Arabidopsis thaliana: one gene and its partners. The protein of the gene in region 1 interacts with the protein of each later gene in a pairwise test. Each region holds a gene or a part of one and is shown in the gene's direction. Other genes may lie near its edges. The genes, in order: AT3G22440, PAR1, PRMT4B and AT3G21215.

Region 1 (5,687 bases):
AGTCGCAACCTAAAAAACTCGAAAGGAGGAACGAAAGTTTTTTTTTTTTTTTTTTTAATTTATAGATGAAGTCTTGGTCTCTTTGATCCTTCGATTCAGTGTTCATATTGCATAGTCTAATATCGGTTGAACCTGATATATACAAGTTCTCTTTACCAACATCCTTAGAAGTATATTGTGATAGTTGCTTGATGCTTTTGATGTCCCTGTTGATTCTCCTACGTTCGTTTCTTCTTTCCTTGTTCTATCTCATCCTTTCGAATAGTGGTTCCTGCTTGTTCTTTAGGCTTTAGCCAGCCTATGGAAATGAGAATATTGAACCAACCAAACAATGTTGCCATAGTGCCATTGTATTGATGATGTCTATGACATTGAGTTATTGTTTTTGTTTGCACTCTGGTAGTAGCTTTATGTATTTGGTCACCTTAGATTGGTGACAACAATGGTGGTGTTTAGTTTAAGCTAGCTATCTTCTTTGAATAAAAAAAAATAAAAAAAAAATTATAAATTGGTATGAAAACAAAAATAAACATTAGATAAGAGGACTTGTATTTTGTGGGGGCTTTTGGTAACCACTATATAAATTTTGTTTTGTCTTTGTTTATAACTCTTTAATTGACAAGTTAGGTATAAAGTGTTTTGACGATTTTTTCCCCTCTACTTTCTTGTGTTCTGATAAACTTTATTACATGTCTTCATTCAAATCTTTGGTTCGCTCTGGCTTACCAATTTACACGTTTTGTTAAAGGAAGTTTGATCAGCTTCGGTTTAGGCCGTGTGATTAAGAATTTAAGATAAACCTTAACACTTATGAAAGTAATCAAGCACTATCCGGTAGTGAAAGTTAATATAACATATAGGATTATAGTTTGGCCAATATCATAACAACTAGGATATAATTTTATGAATGTACAATATGCAGGACAAAGTACTTTGTATCTTTTGATAGAGTTACATGCACTATAAGAGAATTAAACATATTAGAAAAAAGACTAGATTATGTAAAATGTCATAATCATATTACTATAAGACTAGCTAGACTGAGGTCAAATCAATGCATAAATTTAAATCATTATCTCTTTTGAATTCGATTATCTCCCTCACATTTTTCAAATTTCTCTACTCACTTTTTCTATAAAGCGGAAACAGTAATCGGCGGTTCATATGTAGTCGGCCATTACGGACCCATTTAATTAGATAAATTATTCTTAGCCGTCAGTTTCATATTTCGTCTCATTCTAATTTTGTAATGTTTCTCTAACCTTTTTGTAACTATAAAATCATACTCTAATAGCAAGAGGTCTAAAAGAGTAATGGATATTTCCCCTCAATAATGTGTTATATGTCACTGTCCCGTTTTAACATTTTGTACATATCAACAGAAAAAAGTTTTTATGATATATCCATTCCACTGATGTCAAAAAAGCAATAGCTTTAATAAAACCAAATTCAAAATTTCGTTTTTATTCTATTCTTCTGTTTTGATATCACAAAGATATTAAAAACATAGTACGAAGATTAGTTTTATATGTGTACTAATGAATCTTCTTTGTGGTTGCTTCATTATCACGTTTTAACATTTGTCACGCGTGCCCTGATTTCATTACAGCCTTTTCTACAAAACACATGCATTGTTCTTCTTCTTACATTACTACATTACACTACACAAAGAATTTCATATTAATTATAACAACATTTTTTTTTTTTTGCTATACTATATAGTTTTTTGTTATTCAATTGGTATTTTACCGGCAATGCTTCACTGGTTTCCGACTCAACGCATGTGGTGGTCAGTGGGCTTGGCCCACTTATCTCTTTCACCTTTTTTTTTCTTTATACGAAAAATTAAAGCAAAGCTATAGTAATAGTACTTATTATTATTACCACGTCATCACCCAACTCTCTTATACTACGCATATCACGCTAAGCTACGCGTCGACGGCGCAATATAGAAGAATATGTAATAATCGCGCCTTTAATCAGACTCCACTGAGACGTGTCGCTATTTCGAGTTGTCCACGTCACTGTTTCTTTTGTCTCTTATCTTCTTCTTCGTCTCTTTACTTTTTTCCCATTTCTAGGGTTTCTTCAATTTCACTCTCTCTCTTGAGTTTATTCTTCTCTGCTGTATCAATCAAATCAACGGAGTTTGAGTTTCTTTTCCGATTCCGGCGATGGGGTCAGTCCCCGATCCAGGCGAGTTAACTGAGTTAGCTCAGCCGAGTTTCGAGGAGTTTCAGAAACAGACGTCGTTGATGACTAGCTGTACTCTTCTATGGCAAGAGCTCTCCGATCACTTCACTTCTCTAGAGCAGAATCTGATGAAGAAATCTGAAGCGTTGAAGCAGATGATTGAAACTCTAGATAACCAGACTCAGACCTCGCTCGAGTCTCTGAAGCGTAGAGAGGTAACAATCGACCATAGCGTTGAGATCGTAGCTGGGAAAGTAGGTGAACGAGCTAGAGCTGCTCTTGAATCGTTAGAGAAAGCTAGAGATGGTTGTGGTGATGGTTCTAATGATGATTCCGGTGATGTTGACGATGAAGAAGGTCTTCTTTCTGCTTTGAAATCTCTTTGTCTTAAAATGGATGCGAGAGGTTTTTGGAACTTTGTGACGGCGAGGAAGAAGGAGTTGGAGAATCTCCGGTCAAAGATTCCGGCGGCGTTGGTTGATTGTGTAGATCCGGCGATGTTAGTGCTTGAAGCGATATCTGAGGTTTTTCCGGTGGATACAAGAGGAGATAAAGTTAGCAATGATTATGGATGGGCTTGTGTTGTGATTCTTGAGAGTTTAACACCTGTAATTGTTGATCCAGTGATTGGGAAATCGAGGTTGCTTGTTACTCCGAGTGTTAAGGAGAAAGCTAAGGAGATTGCTGAGACGTGGAAGAAGAGTTTGGAAGAGAGAGGAAGGATAGAGAATGTGAAGACTCCTGATGTTCATACGTTTTTGCAGCATCTTGTTACATTTGGAATTGTTAAAAGTGAAGATCTTGCTTTGTATAGAAAGCTTGTTGTTGGATCTGCGTGGCGTAAACAGATGCCTAAGCTTGCGGTTTCTGTTGGTTTGGGTGATCAAATGCCTGGTAATCCTCTTAAGCTCTTATCTTCTACCTATTAGTTTTTTATCCTGGCATGCTCATTGTAACTTGTGAGATCATATATGGTTTTGAAATTGGCTAGTTTACTAATAGTTTAACCCATCTAGATGTATAGTTTTGGTAGGTTACAAATAGTTTACGAGTTGATTAGTCGAATATTAAGTTTGTGTGGCAAACATTGTATGGCATAGATTGTGGTGAAGTCTGAGACATTAGTGGTACAAGGTGTTATTGACCACAGACTGTGTGAAGTTGAAGCCTTTTTCTCTGTATCTCGTTTTATAATATCTGAACTTACAAGTTGTTGCGCTGTCCACAGACATGATTGAAGAATTAATCAGCAGGGGACAACAGCTTGATGCTGTTCATTTTACTTATGAAGTTGGGCTTGTGGATAAGTTCCCTCCTGTTCCTTTGCTCAAAGCTTATCTAAGGGACGCAAAGAAGTCAGCAGCTTCTATCATGGAGGACTCTAGCAATACTGGCCGAGCTACGGTATCTACTCATTGCATCTACTCATTTCTATCGCAGCTAAATATTTTTATCTGTGCGTCCCTGAAAGTTAATATCTTCCTTGTTATGTTTTCTTCCTAAGCATCTCGTGGCGCGCAAGGAGCAATCAGCACTTAAGGCGGTTTTAAAATGCATAGAAGAGTACAAACTCGAGGAAGAGTTCCCTCCAGAGAACCTCAAGAAACGGTTGGATCAGCTAGAGAAGACCAAAACCGAGAAGAGAAAGCCAGCAGCTGTTCCTGCCAACAAAAGAACCCGAGCCAGCTACAACGGTCCAATGCCACCAGCCAAAGCCGGGCGTATCACAAACGCATACGTCTCTTCCTTCCCGTTCATCAGATCACCCTCTCACTCTCCTCAATACGCTTCACCAGCAGCTTACCCATCCCCACCTACAACAGTCTACAGCAACAGAAGCCCACCTTATCCATACTCTCCGGAGATCATCCCAGGCTCATACCAAGGCTCTCCTATCGGTTACCCAGCGTACAACGGTTATTGTAATGGTCCAGTTCCTGCTCCAGCTCCTCCAGTTTACCACCCACACCATCATCAACACCACCAATTCCACCATCAGCAACATTACTACTGAATTAGAAGACAGTGTGACAACAAAACAAGGAAGAAGATTGGTAATAACCAACAAATCACTGATACTGTGACAACTGCTACTACTCTGGTGTTCTCTCTCTCTGGGTCTATTGTCTTCCTACGTCGTCGTTTTTGTCTGTAATATCTCTTTCTCAGCCTAACTCTCTTAGTAACTTAGCTTATATCCTCTGGTGTGTTTATTATTAATCGCATATAAAACAAAACTCAAGCTTTTGTAATGTCTAATATTCAGTCAACAAACTTATATTTCTGTACTCTGTTAATCGAATGACAAACTTCTCTTCGTCACCAACTATCTCCGATCAAATCTAACATCGGAGGTCGTTGCTTTGAAGACATACCCACCAGTTCTCTGTTGAATTGCATTTCTTCTTCATTGAGCAAAGTGGTGATTCAATTTCGGTACAAGACACAAAGCCAGTGGTGAGAAATTTCTCTTTACCAACCTTGCACACCAGATGTTCGACGATATGTCTCTTTGAAATCTTACCGTTTAGTTTTCACGTGCGTTTTCAGAATTGGTCTCTTTTCCTTCAATGGCTTTGATGGTTTTGAGAAGAAAGTGTCTCCGTTTGCCAGATTTTATCTCCGTTTTTCGACCTGCACCGCGTTGCTTCTCCTCGAGATTTTCCAACAGTGAAAGTGGTAAAGTTACAGTGACTGGTTTGAGTGGTTGTGGTATAGAAACTGTGGATGATGATGTTTGGCATGTTTCATCATCTTTATCCCAAGCTTGGAGACAGTTCCAAGCAGACACTGCAAAAAACTCTCCCGTTACAATACAAGGAGTAAGAGAAACAATACTCGATGATGAAGATCCCGATCACGATGAAATCGATAACATGAGAATTCGCGGTGATCTTTTCTTCAAGCTCGATCGAGGTTCAAAAGAATTCGAGGAATACAACTATGACTTCCACCGCAAGAATCAACACAAGAACGCTAAAAAGGAGCAAAACCAAGAAGAAGAAACAAAGATAAAGAAGGATAACAAGAAGGAAGTTCGTGACGAATACAAGAAGAGAAATGACTCTTTCACAGGTGAGACGGATCATCCTAATGAAGCTGTGAAGAAGAGAGAAAGAACATTTACGTTTAACCAACTCACGGCGCCATTTCACTACCCGTTTTGCTTAGACATATACATCTCGAAAGAGTCTGTACGAGCATGTGTGATTCACAGGGTGACTAGTAAGGTTGTAACTGTGGCTCATTCGATTTCAAAAGACATGAAATTCGATCTTGGTTCGAGAAGAAACGTTGCAGCTTGCGCTGCGGTTGGGGCAGTTCTTGCTCAAAGAAGTTTGGAAGATGACATACATGATGTTATATACACTCCTAGGAAAGGAGATAAAATTGAAGGTAAGCTTCAGGTCGTGCTTCAAGCTCTTATTGACAATGGTGTTAATGTTAAAGTGAAGCTTAAGCAGAGGAAACTTAAGAAGAAGACTAGTCATCTA
Region 2 (4,441 bases), on another chromosome or scaffold:
GAAATATCAAAATAAAATTAGAAAAAATCATTTAAAGATTATTTATTCACTTCTATTTTAATTAAAATAAAAATAAAAAAATTTGGGATCTTTCTTCTTCTTTCTGATTATAAAGTTTTTAATAAAATAAGTTTTAAAGCAAAAGAGAGATATAGCAAGTGAAAATGCATGTACAATTGAAAAAAATGCAACTAAATGAGGCCAAGAGAGGAGACAAATAAGGTTAGAGGTGGACCCAAAAACCACTGTATGCATTGTCCCAGAGATCACCCATCATGGTAGGTCCACCTGTGTGGCCCATATCTCCAGCCTTTATAGAAAAAAAGAGAAGATAACTAATTAACTTCCCTTGATTTGGAGTTTTTTAGCTAAACATTACATATTTTCTTTCTTAATCTTCCCCTTTCTTAATTCTTAAAAAAACATATACTGTCTTGTCTTTAACCAAACTCTTCTCTTTTATTTTTGTGGCAACAAAAATAAATAGTGAAAGGGAATCATCTCAAACTCCTCCTAGATATAAATATTTAGGTTTTCGTCATTAAATAAAAGTTATTTTGGAAAAAATAGAAACAACGAACAAGATACAAAAGGACATAGAATTGATTATTCCAAGACGACGAATGTGAAAGCTGGCTAAAAGCTAAAATTAAATTTCGAGTGTGTTATTTTTGTAACATATTTAATGTAAGTGCAAATACATAAATAAATAGATACTAGAATTGGGGAGAGTGTCAGTTTGGTAGATGGTGAAATGCGAAAGGCACCCGATTTTTGTAAATCTCAATCCCGAGAAACCAAACCCTCCTTCGTCCCCTCTTTGGAAACATCATCTCTTTCTTTATTTCTCTCTTCCATCTTCTTCTTCTTCTAAAACAACATCTTAACAATTTTTAGTATTACTAAAAACCCTAGACGTAAAAGAAATGTGTTATTCTGTTCCTGATCTTTGTCTTAATTAAGACCATACATTATTTCTTTTAATTAGATGTCAATCATTATTCTTTACTAAATTTTTTTTCTTGAGTAGATTTAGGTTAATTTGCAATCTTGGATTAAAGACCTACAAAAATGCAATTGTTTTTTTTTAATGCAATTATTTTTTATTAAGTCTTTATCTAGTTTTTATATCATATAGTTGACAAAAGAAATGCACCGGAGGGCTCATTTATGGAACCAACATTAAGTAAGATTTACTATAACGGTTTTATGTATAAAAGATGTATATTATAAAGATCTCTAGCTAGAAACATGTAACACTATATTCGAATCCAATAACACTAAACTTCCTTGGCTTTCTTCTTGTTATATAGTGGCCATTTCTCTAACATTATAGATATATTGAGATTGTTGTTTTTACGTGGTAAGAAATATGGGATGTTAATTGGAGTTTCTTTTAATAAGAAAAAGGAGTTGACAAAAAAAAAATGAAGGACAGATTTAGGAGGTCACTGAGGTGGGGGGGACCCAAAAAAGGGTTGACACGTGGCCACCATGCCCGATAGATATCATGTGGATCTTAGTAGGATTAGGTCCTCAATTGTACGAACAAGTTCACTATCTCTTAGAGGATCTATTTGATCTCATCCATCTAATAATAATACTATATTACAGTCTGTACATAATGTATAGAGAGGAGGAAGCACATGGGAATGGGGCTTTGAAGATGGAGATATTCATGTGACCCGCACATGTCCTCTCCTCTCTCTTCCTTGTTCCCATGCAAGTAGTGTCTCACTGTATCCTTCTTCTTTTCCTTCCTTATCTCCACGCGCGTGGTCGTTTTCATTTCGTCCGTACTACGTAATTACGACAAAACTTACTCTTATACCATCAGGCATTAGTCCATTACCAGGCACCACCCGAATGGCCTATAAGCATAAGTGCATAACTATAGGGTTTGTCGTCGTCTACTTGAATTTTTCTTTTGGAAATTTAAGCTCACATAAAATAGTTTATACTCTTTATTCTTGTTGTAGAAAATAAGACTGGTAACTATGCAAAACAACGTATAGCAGCTATTACATTTATGGCTAAACCAGATCACAAACCATTTAGAGTTTAAATTAAAGTTCGAATAATATTTTAGCAAGTAATCCGGCTTGATAAATAAATGAGACACTTGCTAAAAGTAATCCGGCTTGTATTAACAACGCATATCCTAATACAATAATAAAGCATTGTTGTATAATTAGTTAATTACTATGTCAAACGTCTAGCTCTTAAACAAACAAATTTAACGTGCCAAATCTCATTTATCAAACAAACAAAAAAATCCAATCTAGATGCGAGGTTGATCCACTTAAGTGAGTGATGAGTCCACTAAAGTCTAAACCAGTCGACATGGCGCGTGAAAGCTCTTCTTCTAAAGATCCAAATCTGTGGAAGCAACCAAAGTAAGAGATAATTAAATAAATCTCCACAATCCGAAACACGAGGATAATAAAATTAAAAATAACGCACAACTGGACCCAGCTTTGATGGCAATACCGCTCATTTAACCATTTCCCAATTTCTAAATGTAGAATTTATTTTATATCGTTTCAATTTTTACATCGTTTTTTATAGACAAACCAAACCAAAATTCGTTCATAACCGAACCTTTCACTAATGTAAGCAAACAATGTAACATAAAGCATAGCAAACCAAATCAAACCGATAGAGTATTGTCTCTAAACTCGCAACAAACCAAAATAAAATCAGGTTGAACCGACCACATTTCAACATTTTTGTCTACTAAATCCATCATCACTCATATATATATATATAACACACACAGTTACACATATCCACATTCCTTACTTGTTCATTATTCTCTCAGACTCATCATTCATCTCTCTCTTTCTTTCAATGGAAGAAACTCTAGCCACTCCCGACGCCACGAGACGCTCTCTGTCACCGTCATGCTCAGCCACCGTGAAATCACGCGCCGCTGGTTTCGAGCGCAGAACCAAACGGAGATTGTCAGAGACTAACGCAAGCGTACGTGAAGACCGAGAAGAAGCAGAAGAAGAAGAAGATGAGGTCAAGGAAAAGATTGAGGCGTTGCAGAGGATTATCCCCGGAGGAGCGGCGCTTGGTGTGGACGCGCTCTTCGAAGAGACAGCTGGTTACATTCTGTCTCTACAATGTCAGATCAAAACCATTAAAGTCCTTACTTCGTTTCTTCAACGCATAGATCAAGAAGACATGAAGTTCGGAGGTTGAAGATTATCACACCAAGACTGCTCTTCTTTCTTCGATTCCTAAAAACAAAAAAAAACGTTTTTTTTTTTCAAATCTTTTATTTCCTTTTTTATAACATGGGATTTTAGCTTTGATATATGAGGAAAGAGACTCAACATTTTTTTCTTCGAATTTTTTTTTTCTTTAGTAGGAGTATAATCTTTAATTTTAATGTTCTGATTTATTTATTAAGCCGTTTCACGGTTATGAGAAGTGTTCATTAACGAAAATTAGCATTAATTAATGTAGTTATATAACTTATTTTAGTAGGACGCCATATAGTATAGATATTAAATTGGATCACGAGGTTTCACTTGCATATGAGATTTGACATTAATGATATTGAGAAAGTTAATGTTACGTGGCCCATTTTTAAATCTGGATGAGCTCATTTCACATGCTTTATTATAACAAAGATTTCCAAAGTCGGTCGATATTTATTTAAGCTTATGATGAACTTACTAGATTTGAGTTCCCGTGGTCCAACAATAGAGTTCATGTATATTCCTTGTACATACATATACAAGACAAATCTTTTTAGTCGTGTAAGTACTAGAGCTAGCATCTACACAGAAATTTAAACACATTTGCCGCTAGAAAAAAAACAATATCAGTTTTAGTATTCATTATAACGTAATTTCTGACCCACAACAATGCAGCTATATCGAACTCTATGGAACTATTTACTCCACACATAGCGGAAAGTCGGGGAAGATATAATTTTCTTACCAACCCTATCTACTCTCTATCCAAATTACATTACAAAGATGAATTTAAGGTTGAACATCGTATAGTACGAAGTTGTAATCAATAATGTTAACTTCAACATCCTTTACCAAACCAAAATTTAAAATAAAAACCATTGATAGATTATAACTAATCACATCCTGTATGGGCTAAAAGCCTAAAAGATTACGATTCCACATGTTTTTTGATTGCCTTAGTTATGTTATAATTGGGCTTAACATAACTGGGCCTGAACCCATTAAACACTAAGAGGTCCGTACAAAAAAGGATTCGCGGCAATATTGTCAAGTGTCAACTACCCTCGGAACGACTTCTTCACTAAAAGTTAAAACTTAAAACCCTAAATCATTTTTTTCTGGTGAATTGAAATAGAATTCTATTTCAAGGAATTGGAGAAGAAGAAGCAAGAATTGACACGGGATAATCTGGAATTGAAGGAGGAGGGTGAGATTACTGAGAGAGATTGAGG
Region 3 (7,175 bases), 5.8 Mb from region 1:
GCAAATGATTTTCAAATTGAAATGGCGATGCCAGATGATAGTCCGTTGCCGTGCAATTTTGTTTTGGTTGATCAGAGGCATCACACAGCAATACAGCAGTGGGAAAACGTCATCACGGGTGTTGATCAACGGTTTAATACCTTTCTTGAATTCCGAGATGCATTACACAAGTATTCAGTCGCCCATGGGTTTGCTTACAAATACAAGAAAAATGACAGCCATCGAGTGTCTGTCAAATGCAAAGCTCAAGGTTGTCCATGGCGTATCACTGCATCGAGGCTATCAACGACTCAGTTAATATGTATCAAGAAAATGAACCCGAGGCACACTTGTGAGAGAGCTGTCATCAAACCTGGTTACCGTGCAACTAGAGGATGGGTAAGAACCATCTTGAAAGAGAAGTTGAAAGCCTTCCCAGACTACAAGCCCAAGGATATCGCTGAGGACATAAAGAAAGAGTATGGTATTCAGTTGAATTACTCACAGGCATGGAGGGCAAAAGAGATTGCCCGAGAGCAGCTACAGGGTTCTTATAAAGAGGCGTATAGTCAACTTCCCCTAATCTGTGAGAAGATCAAGGAGACAAATCCTGGCAGTATTGCCACTTTCATGACAAAAGAAGATTCGAGCTTCCATCGTCTTTTCATATCATTCTATGCTTCAATATCTGGGTTTAAACAAGGTTCCCGCCCTCTCCTGTTCCTTGACAACGCTATCTTAAACTCAAAATACCAAGGGGTTATGCTTGTTGCAACAGCTTCTGACGCTGAAGATGGCATATTTCCAGTAGCCTTTGCTATTGTGGATTCAGAGACAGAGGAGAACTGGCTTTGGTTTTTGGAACAACTCAAAACTGCGTTGTCTGAGTCGCGAATAATCACTTTTGTTGCAGATTTCCAGAATGGTCTGAAGAATGCGATAGCGCAGGTCTTTGAAAAAGACGCACATCATGCATACTGTCTAGGCCAGCTTGCTGAAAAACTAAATGTGGACTTGAAGGGGCAGTTTTCCCATGAAGCAAGACGGTATATGCTCAACGATTTCTACTCTGTGGCATATGCAACAACACCCGTGGGTTATTACCTTGCCTTGGAGAATATAAAAAGCATATCTCCTGATGCTTACAACTGGGTTATAGAAAGTGAACCACACCATTGGGCAAATGCGCTGTTCCAAGGAGAGAGATATAACAAGATGAACTCAAACTTTGGGAAAGACTTCTACAGCTGGGTTTCTGAAGCACATGAGTTTCCCATTACCCAAATGATTGACGAATTTCGAGCAAAGATGATGCAATCTATTTATACCAGGCAGGTTAAATCCCGGGAATGGGTCACAACTCTAACACCATCTAACGAAGAGAAGCTACAGAAAGAAATAGAACTTGCGCAATTACTTCAGGTTTCATCGCCAGAAGGGAGCTTATTCCAGGTTAATGGAGGAGAATCTTCGGTCAGTATAGTTGATATCAATCAGTGTGATTGTGACTGCAAGACCTGGCGGCTAACTGGGTTACCTTGTAGCCATGCAATTGCCGTGATTGGATGCATAGAGAAAAGCCCGTATGAGTATTGCTCTACGTACTTAACAGTTGAGAGTCACCGGTTAATGTATGCAGAGTCGATTCAACCTGTCCCAAACATGGACAGGATGATGCTGGATGATCCGCCGGAGGGGTTAGTTTGCGTGACTCCTCCACCCACACGGAGGACACCGGGAAGACCAAAGATAAAGAAGGTTGAGCCGTTGGACATGATGAAACGTCAGCTACAGTGTAGCAAGTGCAAGGGACTAGGACATAACAAGAAAACATGCAAAGCTACTTAGTTGTTAGGATGTTTTGGTTAGTTTAAAGTAGTAGATGATTTTGGATCTCTTCTCTTCTTGTGTGATGAAGAATAAAGATCTCGTTCGTTTTCAGATCAAAGCGAGCTTTTTTTTCTTCGCAGAACTTGTTGGTTGATGTATGACATTCACATTCGAACTTTTTGATCTATGAAATTGGTTTAAGAATTAATAAATGTAACTTACAATCCTATCCCATAATCATAGTAAAAATTACGAAAATGCCACCGTTTCATTACTCCTTTTGGCGGCTTTAACTCTTCTCCCTCTCAGAGAGTTCGGAAACTCTCAGCAGAAAAACCCTAAAATTCTTAAGCTTCGTTTACACACACATACAGAGACTGTATCTGTACATTCGCATCGTTTTGTAAAAATGGAGGTATCTTCTGTGAAAAAGCTTGAGCAGCTGGAGTACTCTTTAGAGTCAGTCACTGATCTCTCTTCGTCTTCCGTTTCGTCGTCCTCTCCAGCTGTAGCTACGTTTTCCTACGTTGATGGAGTCACGGAGCTCCGATTTCTGCAATCGGATTCGACCCATTGTTTCAATTTTGATCTCGCTTCCGCTCAGGTGAATGTCGATTCACATGCTTATGTTACTGTTCCGCTGGTTCTTATCGGTTTTGATTATTTTTTCCCATCTCGTTTAAAACGTTTGTTTTTGCTACATGAAGATGACGAAACTCTGTTATTTTTCTGTAACTAATCTGAGATTGAAGATGGTTTTCATACTAATTTTTACAATTGACGATATATTTTAATTCTGAAAGTTTGAATTTTGGTAAAACTTGTTTTGCTTATGTTTTATAATCTTATTGGGTCTTGTTGTATCTGAGAATGCGTGCATTGATCGTATTATATCTTTGTCAATGTTTTTCCCCTCAGTTATTCAAGTTGGGGCCAGTCCATTTCATCTGTGTATCTGATGGTTCAAGTTCTTCAGAGGAGGTACGTTATGTTTGAGTACTTGGGAGCAGGATCAATTTCTTTAGTTATTCTTTAAAGTGAATATCTTGTCTCGCCTTCTTTATTAATCCACTTTTCTTCATAATGAAATGATTTTGTGAAACAGAAATCATTCTCCAAAGGAGTCAATATAAAATTCAAAAATGAGAAGGATAGCAAGGATTTTTGTGAGTCCTTTGAAGAGTGGAGAAATGATTCTGTTGTTCAAGGTGCGCCATTGTATCAATTTACTTTCTTGGAGGTGTTATAGCATGAATGCCTTATGTTTGCTTTTCTTCTGGCTTTTAATTAAGAAAGTATTGAAGCCCCATTATAGAATAGTTTTATGAAAATCTATGTTTTTTTCTCAGACTGTAAAGAACCAATTTCTCTCTGTGGCTACTTGTGCATTCACTGTCATTGCCCATTTCAAAATCTATGCATAATATTATTGCATACTCCTTTACTGTCTTCTCACTTTTCCGTTTCTAGGATCATCCTTGCAAAATGGAACAGTTTCAGCTAATAAAAGCAAGTTCGACAATAAGATAGAGGCGTCATCGGCAAAAATGTATTTTCATTATTATGGACAACTTCTACATCAGCAAAATATGCTACAAGATTATGTGCGGACAGGTAAAATATCTGGCCTCAATGTGTTGTTTGTTTCAAAACTGTTCCAGTTTTCTTGATTTTAAACGATTCAAACCCATCATACGAATATCTTCTGTTTTCTTCTCACCGCTGTTTGTCTTGGAATAACTATTTATGAACCTCATTCATGTCTTCAGGTACGTACTATGCCGCAGTCATGGAGAATCATTCAGATTTTGCTGGTCGTGTTGTGGTCGATGTGGGTGCTGGGAGTGGCATTTTGTCAATGTTTGCGGCCCAGGTATTTAATATTTAGGCTATAGGTTACAGAACTAAGACTTTGCTATGGTCAAACAAGAAGAGGTTGATAGATAGGCAGAGCTTTATCTGTAAAGCTAGACTATGAATAAAGAAAGCTTGTTTATTGCGAAGTCCTCAATATAGTTTTACAAATACATCTCTGACTCGAACCTCTCCTTGCCTTAATCCACCGAATTGGTGATCCATAAATGCAAAAGGTAGTAATGCCAAAGTAAATGTGAACTACTTTCTAGTTATGTCTCGGTGTGAGCGGCTGACATAGCTATCAGATGGTTATGGTACTTATGAATTTTTGCTTCATCTTCTTCATACATATCTTTATTTTCTGCTATATTAGGCTGGTGCCAAACATGTGTATGCGGTTGAAGCATCAGAAATGGCTGAGTATGCTCGTAAGCTGATTGCTGGAAACCCATTATTCGCTGACCGAATCACAGTAAGACTTCTAATTCAATTTGGTCAGTATATAGAGTTGTGTTATATGCATTTGTCTGATGTTGTTGAAGCTTGCACAAGTGTAGGTCATCAAGGGTAAAGTTGAGGATATCGAGTTGCCTGAGAAAGCAGATATTTTGATTTCTGAACCGATGGGTATGTATCTCAGAGACGTACTTTTTTTTTTGTGCGTCTTTTTCCTTTGAAAATTACAAAACTTGGAATCTTTAGACCAGAAAAAACCTTGGTCAGAGAAAAATATGCGTAAAAACATCACTAGTGATTGAAAGTTCCATTAATCATTTGAATGACAAGTCTTATGTTTTAAATCAGGCACCTTATTGGTCAACGAGAGAATGTTAGAATCGTATGTAATTGCTAGGGATCGTTTTATGACTCCAAAAGGCAAAATGTTTCCCACTGTCGGAAGGTAAAGGCAACCTTTGAGAGCCTTTCCTTATTTAATTTCTTACTATGTCTTCACTCTCATGTAGTTTTATCACTGTAGGATTCACATGGCACCTTTTTCTGATGAATTCTTATTTATTGAGATGGCAAATAAGGTACGGAATGCAACTGGTTATTCTAAGAATTACTTCCCAGAATTTTTTCCAAAATATGCTGGTTTAGTTCAGTTTTTCTATGAAGTCTTAAGCATTCAATAATATACATTCCTCCTCTATGCAGGCTATGTTTTGGCAACAGCAGAACTATTATGGAGTTGATCTGACACCTCTATATGGATCAGCGCACCAAGGTTATTTTTCTCAGGTATATTCACACACAACATAATCGAAATATGTATTCACACACAACATAATCGAAATATGTATTTGCACCAACTAACATATTGGTTATTCTCAACATAACGGGTATTGATGAATCATTATCTATGGATTTTACAGCCCGTGGTTGATGCATTTGATCCGAGATTATTAGTGGCTTCTCCGATGTTCCACATGATAGATTTCACTCAAATGAAGGTATACATACACTAGTTAAGACTGTTCCTCAGCGTTCCATTATGTCAAGAAATTTGATCTTTCATGGTGGGGTGAATGACTTACAATCTCATTTTACCCCTGAATTCGTTTCCCTAGGAAGAAGATTTTTACGAGATTGATATCCCGTTGAAGTTCACTGCTTCCATGTGCACCAGAATGCATGGACTTGCCTGCTGGTTTGACGTTCTCTTTGACGGGAGGTAACTCTTGCTTTTTATTCTTCTTCATTCAAAACTTTTCATCTTCATGTTTCTCTTTGCAATTGAAGATTTATATTTCAAACTCGTTTTACTCTATTTTCAACAGCACGGTCCAAAGATGGCTCACAACTGCTCCCGGTGCACCTACAACGCATTGGTACCAAATCAGATGTGTTCTCTCGCAGCCTATTTACGTAATGGCAGGTCAAGAGATCACTGGTAGACTTCATTTGATAGCCCACAGTGCTCAGAGTTACACCATAGATCTAACTTTATCAGGTGCAGTTTGCTTCTTCTTTTTTTCTGTGTTTTCGTCATTTGAAAGCACCATGAACCAACTTTCAACTTCTTTTCCTGATCTGATAACAAAATGGGTTTTTAACAGCTAAAATGTGGGGGCCCGGTGCAAGTCAAGGCGGAATTCTCCAATCATCGACATGCAAATTCGATCTGAAAGAACCTTATTATAGAATGTCTCAGCCACAAGCATACCCTGTTGCACAAGAACCACCTCTACAACCACAACCAGAGCTAAGTACACAGGTAAAAATGCATTCAGCAACTAGAATAGGTATGGTTGCTTTCTTTTTATATGTGTACCAATATATATGCATTTACTCTTAGCAGGACATACAAACACCAAACGATGAATTAGAAGAAGAGTTACTGCAACAATTGCCACAGAACCCAAGTGCCCAGCTCTAAAAGCTAATAAGTGAAATGAAGGTGAGAGATGATAATTGGGATCTTTGAATCTCAGTCATATTTTGAGCTTGGGATTTCTGTTTGTAACGTCAAAAAGGTAAAAAAAATGTTTCTGGTGTCTTTATGAGTTTTGGTATGGAAAGATCAAAATGATGAGCATGGAAAGATCTTATCATTCCCATTGCTTCCATGGAAAAGTCTCTGCTTCTTTGTGTATTTCTTTTCACACCCAACTTATCAATTATTTACGTTATCTTTAAAAGCCACACGCAATGTAAACAATGAATCAAGAATCGAGTTCATTTATCAGAAAAACATGTCTTTCTAAATTGAGTTCTATGGTTTGATAAAATGATAGTTTTACTCGAGCAAGAATCGTAAGAGAACTTTATCAATGGAAACAGACGTAGAACATATTATTAAAGTCAAAAGGTGAGCAAAAGATGAATTTGAAGGAGGTTATCTCGTCTCTATCAAACTCGTGTAGTTTCAGTGTATGTAAGACAGAGCAAAACAGACACTTTCTTATGAAATTCACTTCAAATCACAATCTCCTTAAAGATTCCTGCTTTCACTGAATAAGAGGCTGGCTCTTGAGTCACAGAAATTACAACCTTCGTGATGAATAAGAGCTCATACCGAAGTCGACATATAGACCGAGCAATAGTCTCCTTTCAAATCCTGCAAAAATGGCAATGATAAGAATCGGAAGGTGCAGGTCCAACATAAGGAAGAACGCAGAAGATTCATCTGGATGGGGAAGTTACCATGAAGGTTCTGGTAAATGATACAAACGAAGAAGGGAAACAGAAGTAATTATCTGGTGTTTATTGAGCATATTTCCAGTGAAGAACACCCATCTTTCTCGATCTGTGAACACTGACAGATGTCAAACAAACATTGCCCTCTCCAGAAAACTTGGGATACTTGTGCTTCAGAATGCTCACTTAACTGAAATCAGACATAACCCAAAATGTCTTGGTTTTCCTATACAAGAAACGAGATTATCGATAAACTGTCTACCAAGATCGGGCAGCATGCCGTGCCTTTCCCGTTTCCCTCAAAACAGCTCCCACAATAGCTGCTTGCTCAAGACAATCATTCTTATGCAAAGTATCCAAAAGAACAA
Region 4 (6,833 bases), 520 kb from region 1:
AAGACTCAATAAACCCTAACCACAAACTGAGTTTCTTCCTGACGACTCATACCCCAATCACAAACCACATTGTTCTTCTACTCTTCTCATTATCTTTGCTTGGGGTATGCAAAACTTATGGAAAAATGTCAGGAAAAACTACGAAAAATTGAAAAACAAGAAAGACGAAAATGGTAGAAACACTAAGAGGCAGAAGGAAGAGGACGAGGCGGCGGCAACATTTGACGGAGATTAGGACCACCGGTAGCTTTAAGTATGAAAGGATGCTGCAAAAGCTGTTGAGCTGACCATCTCTTAGGAGGATCACTCTGTAAACAACAAGAAACAAAGTGACGAAACTCCTGAGACGCCGTAGCCGGAGCTTCAGGTGGCTGAGACATACAAATAGCACACATAAGACTAGCCCAATCACCTTGTCTACTCACAGCAAAAGGAAACCTCCCCAAGTAAAACTCCAAGATACTAACACCTAAACTCCAAACATCTCCAGCATAACCATCGTAACGACCATGATTCAAATCAGTATTAATCCTCTCAGGACTCATATAAGCAATAGTACCAACAGATGAATTACAAGGATCCATTGTTTGTGCCAAGATCCTACTCACACCAAAATCAGCAATTTTCACATTTTTAGCTGAGTTTATAAGAAGATTCGAAGGTTTGATATCACGATGAACGATATGACGACGATGAAGATAAGCTAATCCACTAAGAATCTGACGAGAGAGATCAGCTAATTCCTGTTCTTGCCATATATGAGCTCCTTCAAGAGATCCTTGATCCATAAACTCAAGCAAAACCTGGATCTCACCGTTATGATCAAACATATCGTGACATTTCACAACGTTTGGATGATCAACACTTCTTAAGATCTCGATCTCTCTACAGATCTGACGTCTCACGGTATCTTCGTGGTTTCCGTAAATCACTTTGAGAGCGAAAGGACGTGACGTCGGAGTGTGGATTACTTTGTAAACCGTTCCTCCGGCTCCGCTTCCGATTCGGTTCACTCGTTCTAGCTCGGATAAGCTTTTAGCGGCGGAGATGTTGGTTGAGATCGCGGAGGAAGACGCCGGAGCGGATGAAGAGGAAGAAGGAGGTGGGAGAGGGAGAGGTACGGCGAGAGCGACGTCGCGGTGTGGGAGTGGTAAGCTTAGGTCAGGACGTTTGCGTAAACGGTTCTTCATAGGTGAAGCTACTCCAGAAGGAGATTGAATCGGTTTCATGGCTTTTAGAAGAAGAGGGAATCAAAAGTTTTTTTTTTTTTTCACAAGGTTGATTCTTTATCTTCCAGGTTTGTATTTATCATCATGATTGACTTGACTCTAGGGTTTGTTTGATTCGTCGTTTTTCAAAGAGATCAAATCAAGAGGAGAATGAAGCTTCATCGAAGAGATTTGTGAAAATGATTGTAAGAAACAAGAAAAAAAAAAAAAGTTAAAATGGTAAGACGAAGGTACGCGTTGATGGAAAGAGCGTGGAATACACTCGCACTTGTGTGGCTCTGTGTTGTTACACGTTAACCATGTTTTTTGTTTGGTCGGGTCTGAATTGGATTATAATATCATTAAGAGTGTTTAAGATCGTGGATTTAGATACTATAAATTTGGTGTTAGGTATTTAATATTTTTAGAAAGTAAGAAAATACAGATTAAAGTTTCTTTCCAATAAAAACAATTGAAAAAAGAAAAACTTAAAGTAATTATAATTCTAAAAAAATTAAAAACTAATTTTCTTTTTAAAGTTTTTAACAGAAAAAGAAAGAAATAAAATTAAAGTGGTACAGTGTTCACGTGCGATGCATGTGACTTAAAAAATAAGTTTGCCTTCTTTGCCGTCAATTCTTCCGCAGAAGTTTTTTCGAACAATCAATCTCTGACTCTCTGAGTAATTAGGTTTTTTTTTTATCTCATGGCCGGCGCCGGAATCCACCCATACCACCAGCAGTGGCCGCCGGCAGGTGCGCCGCCTCCTCCAGCCGCAGTATCATCAGCTGCTCCACCACATCCGCCGCCCATTCATCACCATCCTCCTCCTCCTCCTGTTTTAGTTGACAACCATAATCGTCCTCCTTATGACGAGGTTCAACTCTTTCTCTTTCTCTCTATACATATCGGTGATTCTTGTGCTGTGTTGTCGAGATGGGCTTGCTTGATTTTTGTTTACGTTGAGGTTTTAATTTGCCTGCTTTTTGATATACAATGTTAGCTTGATTTTGCTACGGAATCGATAAATTGTCCAAAGTTATGACCTTTTTGATAAGAATGATTTTTAAGTTTGTTACTAAAATCTCACTTATGACCTGTTGCATAAGTGAGAAAGGTTCTCTTATCTTGTCATGTAGTTGGAGTTTTCTGATTTTGGGAAAACGTGATCTCTTACACAAGTTTGAATCTGTTGTTCAGCTGCGGACAATCTTCATCGCAGGGCTTCCCGATGATGTAAAAGAGAGAGAGCTTTTGAATCTCTTGAGATGGTTGCCTGGTTACGAGGCTTCTCAGGTGAACTTCAAGGGAGAAAAGCCCATGGGGTTTGCTCTTTTCTCCACAGCTCAGTTTGCAATGGCAGCCAAAGATACCCTTCAGGTCTGTCTGCTTCTGATCATTGTTGACTCAGATCCTTTTTTGTCTTCACATTATGACATATGTTGTTCTTGGCATGCAGCATATGGTGTTTGATGCTGAGTCAAAGTCTGTGATACATACAGAGATGGCCAAGAAGAATCTTTTTGTTAAAAGAGGTTAGCTCTACCTTTATGACATAAAATGGCTGTATTTTATCTATCTTAAGCATTAGTCATGTTACTGAAGCATGTTTGATACAGTTTTGTGCATTTATACGGGGTCTCACTACACTCTCCCCTTTATCTAGTTTCTTACTTCCTTTGTTAATATCACAAACCATATATAACCTTTGAACTCAATCTTTATTCTGTAGGTATTGTTGGGGATTCAAATGCTTATGATCAAAGTAAGCGCCTACGAACTGGTGGTGACTGCACACACTCTGTGTATAGTCCATCTCCTTTCCATCCTCCACCTCCTCCTGTGTGGGGACCTCCTCATGGGTTAGGCATTTGCTTCTCCTTCATATTTCATATGCTGTGTAGAAATTGGACGATGTGTATTTGGTACACCGTTTTATGTTAAGTTGCTTATTTGACAAGAAGATAAATTGGTTCAGATATATGGCACCTGCACCTCCACCATATGATCCCTATGCAGGTTATCATGCTCCCCCTGTACCAATGCCTACGCCCCCACCTATAGCAGCTCCTAGTTCTTATGTGCCTGTCCAGGTGAAGTTGCACTGTTTTCATCATTTTATTTATCATATGGTGGTTGTGCAATTATATACCCGGAATCCATATTGTACTTGCCTCTCCTTGCCTAAAAATTACAATCTCGAACTTCATTCTAATTAGCTTACATGCTATACTCTCTGGTGGTTGTGTTGTGGAACAATAGTTGTTGCCTAATTTAAATGCATTGTCTACTGCTCTGAATTTGCTAAAGTTTCTGATTGTTTGATAAATTTTGTACCTAGTTTGATGAATATCTAGCCTAGGTTTGGTGATCTGATATATGTCTCATGTTGTTTTCAAATTTTTTTCAATTGCAGAATATTAAGGATAATCCACCTTGCAATACCCTATTTATTGGTAATCTTGGGGAGAATATAAACGAAGAAGAATTGAGGAGCCTGTTGAGTGCGTGAGTATCTGTTCCCTTTAGTGAGACTCCTGTCCATTGCTTTCCTTGAGATCTTGGCCTTTTTGTAGACCTGTGTTCTCAAGAATTCTGCGGTAAACTGTACTTTCATTTTGCAGGCAACCTGGTTTCAAACAAATGAAGATTCTGAGACAAGAAAGGCATACAGTTTGCTTTATTGAATTCGAGGTTAACTCTGAGACCTTCACCATCTGTGTATATGTGACAGAAAATATTCTTCTAGCATATTGTTAAATTCTTCTATCTGGACTTGCAGGATGTCAATAGTGCCACAAATGTTCACCATAATTTGCAAGGTGCTGTCATTCCAAGTTCTGGTTCAATTGGCATGAGGATCCAATATCCTTATATACTTTTACTCTTTCTGATTATTTAATATTCCAGTATGCCAAGTTCTTTTTTCTTTTCTGTTTGATTCTTCTTAACCCAATGATACATATTCAAAGAATCCATATGGGAAGAGAAAGGAAGGTGGCGGCTATTCTTTCTTTCCTTCTCCGAGTGCTAATGGAGCCCAAGGAGCCCTGACATATCAGTAGGCCTTGAAGGGGGACGTACTCTCTTCCTTATCTCCCAACAACTGCACGAATACGATGCATCTTCCAGGCAGTCTGCATTTCATCCATTTCCATTCTCGACATTTTTAAGCATCAGCATTGCTTTGTCATGTGTTGGGTGCATATAGTGTGACCTCATCAACATATAACATGTTTCAGTTTCTATTAGCTCTGCTACATGCATTCGCAGTGTGGTTTTTGATGATTGTTTGAATTATATAGGAGTTTGGTTTGCTATTTGTTTATCTTATTGCGGCTTTAATACATCACTTTGTGGGATTCATTTTCATCATTCTGATCGATTCATCCTAATGAAACGTTAGCTAGGAAAAAACATAACATTACATTAGATCATAACATGATAACATCCGGAGGCCTTCCATCAACTTCGTTTCACTGCATGGACACGGAATGTTGCTCTCATGATTGATTCATCCTAACGAAACTCCATTTGCTATGTTAGCTGATATACCATTACATTAGATCATAACATGATAACATCCAGAGGGGTTTGATCAACTTCGTTTCACTGCATAGACATGGAATATTACTCTCATGATCTATCACATCGGTTTCATTCTTCAGCATTTCCCATGTCGATCATTCTCTGTTCTTACTTAGGCTGATGAACAAGCACATCCGTTTTGTCAGAAGTTGACAGCTGATATAACATTTGAAGATAGGCATTCCATTACATTGTAGGTTTATTATAGTTGAGCAAACATATATACATTCCCAGCTCTGGCTTGGCCTTATGCAGGGACAATCCGTAAAGAGAAAGCCCAAGCTCTCGAATAGAGATGCGTTTCACCTACAAAGTTGAGGTAAGGTCATCTTCGGACGTCCAGGAACAGAGCCAGGAGTTCCTAAGAGCCTATCTTTTTACAATGGAGTCTACTTATCCAATCCAACTTATCTCTTTTCTAACTGATGTTTCTGTACGGCTTTGGGCTACTTGACTCTGGATGTGAAAACCAGAAGCGAATTTAGTGATTCTTCAAATGAGAAAGTTTCTCTTCCATTTTCAAGAACAATGTGTGTATAATTGGTCGCTTACTTATCAGATTTTGAGGTATAGGATCTCTAGGGCCTAGTTTCATGTTTTGTTTCTCTGAATTCGAACCATGGTAAATTTGCTGTAAAGAGAGGTAGGTAATATAATTAACCCAAGAGACAACCCAAGAAGAATCGATAAAGGAGTGTCTCAACTCTCAAGTAAGAAACATGTTTTCATTATTATGATTGGCGAGTCTCAAGCTTTCATCACTGTAGACAACAAAGAAAAAGATTTGTTGCACAAAAGGGTTTGTGCATTCCTTAGACCAACTTTCCAGAGAAGCAAAACATCTAAAACCACAAAACCATGGTCTTAAAAGAAAATTCTTAAACGTCAGGTGTGTCTGAGCGCAGAACTGTCAAGAAAAACAAGATAAAGAGTTGGGAGGTTAATAAAAAGAAGAAAAAAAATATAAAACGGAACTGAGAGGTAAAAGATTGAAACCCCTCTTCAAGTTGTTCAAGTAAAGATCATCAAGCAAAAGGTAGAGATGTCGATCAAATTGGTGGAACAAACGCACGGAGAGGGAGGAGAATCGTGAGTAACGTGCCTGGTTTCTGAGGCTTTCCATCGGACCATTTTGGAGAGGGAGAAGTGAACCTTGTCGCGATTGATTGTTTCAGCTTTGAATGGTTCTTTGAGACGGATATACGCCGTCCCCATACTCGTTCTCAGCCCATTTTAGGCCTTTCTGAATTAGGCCCAAATACGTTTACGTGTTTTTAGAGGAAAACTTTCAACGTGCATGTCAAAGACAAATTGTTTGTTTATTTTCTCATCAAGCAAGACAGAGACTACTATTTTGCTTTTTTTAAAAGAAAACGATGTAGCATTTTCCTTGTCGAGAAGCTAAGGAAACCTGACAAAAATGCAAGGGATAACAAACGCATTAACCAAAGTATAATTTTTTACAAGCAAAGAAACATTTGCACAAAACCCATAAATATAAACCTCATTATCCCATAATTAGCAATGCTGCATAACACATAATTTAAAAACCCTAAGAAAAAAATCGGAAGTTTGTGGAAGCAAGAAGAAGAAATGATGAATCCAGAATCCGATCATCCTTCATCTCCTCGTCAACGTAAGATTGGAATCGCCGTGGAGCTCTCTGAAGAAAGTGCCTTCACTGTTCGTTGGGCTGTTGATAACTACATCCGTCAGGGAGACGACATCATTATTCTACACGTCTCTCCAACCGCCGGTCTCTTTGGAGCCGATTGGGGATATTACCCTCTCCAAACTCAACCTCCTTACACCACCGCTTCTATTTTCTCCAAAGTAGCGGATCTCGGGAAGCCATTGAAGGAAGCTGGATTCCCTCACACGATTCATACAGTCAAAGATTACGATAAGAGAGAGAGGCTTTGTCTTGAGACTCAACGGCTCAATCTCACTGCTCTGATTATGGGATTTGGTGATGGCTCTGTTAGTGATTTCTGTGTTCACCACTGTGTTTGTCAAGTCGTTGTGGTTAGATACCCT

What was found.
Region 2: the proteins of AT3G22440 (region 1) and PAR1 interact in a two-hybrid assay, tested with the Arabidopsis thaliana proteins (one large-scale study listed by BioGRID).
Region 3: the proteins of AT3G22440 (region 1) and PRMT4B interact in a two-hybrid assay, tested with the Arabidopsis thaliana proteins (one large-scale study listed by BioGRID).
Region 4: the proteins of AT3G22440 (region 1) and AT3G21215 interact in a two-hybrid assay, tested with the Arabidopsis thaliana proteins (one large-scale study listed by BioGRID).

Annotation. Positions count from the first base shown.
Region 1 is NC_003074.8:7,957,680-7,963,366, forward strand, and holds AT3G22440 (FRIGIDA-like protein), read left to right. Parts: upstream 1-2,073; 5' UTR 2,074-2,174; coding exon 2,175-3,087; intron 3,088-3,421; coding exon 3,422-3,597; intron 3,598-3,697; coding exon 3,698-4,207; 3' UTR 4,208-4,692; downstream 4,693-5,687. Other genes in the region: AT3G22436 (uncharacterized protein), read right to left, coding at 219-341; AT3G22450 (Ribosomal L18p/L5e family protein), read left to right, coding at 4,764-5,687.
Region 2 is NC_003071.7:17,835,597-17,840,037, reverse strand, and holds PAR1 (phy rapidly regulated 1), read left to right. Parts: upstream 1-2,419; 5' UTR 2,420-2,850; coding exon 2,851-3,207; 3' UTR 3,208-3,622; downstream 3,623-4,441. UniProt on the Arabidopsis thaliana protein: Atypical bHLH transcription factor that acts as a negative regulator of a variety of shade avoidance syndrome (SAS) responses, including seedling elongation and photosynthetic pigment accumulation.
Region 3 is NC_003074.8:2,184,340-2,191,514, reverse strand, and holds PRMT4B (protein arginine methyltransferase 4B), read left to right. Parts: upstream 1-2,127; 5' UTR 2,128-2,218; coding exon 2,219-2,413; intron 2,414-2,727; coding exon 2,728-2,790; intron 2,791-2,914; coding exon 2,915-3,017; intron 3,018-3,279; coding exon 3,280-3,423; intron 3,424-3,578; coding exon 3,579-3,682; intron 3,683-4,039; coding exon 4,040-4,138; intron 4,139-4,223; coding exon 4,224-4,293; intron 4,294-4,470; coding exon 4,471-4,567; intron 4,568-4,645; coding exon 4,646-4,700; intron 4,701-4,824; coding exon 4,825-4,908; intron 4,909-5,042; coding exon 5,043-5,120; intron 5,121-5,237; coding exon 5,238-5,341; intron 5,342-5,447; coding exon 5,448-5,620; intron 5,621-5,726; coding exon 5,727-5,884; intron 5,885-5,965; coding exon 5,966-6,046; 3' UTR 6,047-6,372; downstream 6,373-7,175. Other genes in the region: AT3G06920 (Tetratricopeptide repeat (TPR)-like superfamily protein), read right to left, coding at 7,066-7,175. UniProt on the Arabidopsis thaliana protein: Methylates (mono- and asymmetric dimethylation) the guanidino nitrogens of arginyl residues in several proteins involved in DNA packaging, transcription regulation, and mRNA stability.
Region 4 is NC_003074.8:7,440,313-7,447,145, reverse strand, and holds AT3G21215 (RNA-binding (RRM/RBD/RNP motifs) family protein), read left to right. Parts: upstream 1-1,833; 5' UTR 1,834-1,914; coding exon 1,915-2,085; intron 2,086-2,408; coding exon 2,409-2,588; intron 2,589-2,667; coding exon 2,668-2,743; intron 2,744-2,940; coding exon 2,941-3,070; intron 3,071-3,186; coding exon 3,187-3,301; intron 3,302-3,624; coding exon 3,625-3,716; intron 3,717-3,832; coding exon 3,833-3,902; intron 3,903-3,990; coding exon 3,991-4,073; coding exon of another isoform or gene 4,074-4,110; exon of another isoform or gene 4,111-4,170; coding exon 4,171-4,273; 3' UTR 4,274-5,695; downstream 5,696-6,833. Other genes in the region: MKK5 (MAP kinase kinase 5), read right to left, coding at 183-1,229; AT3G21210 (zinc ion binding protein), read left to right, coding at 6,390-6,833.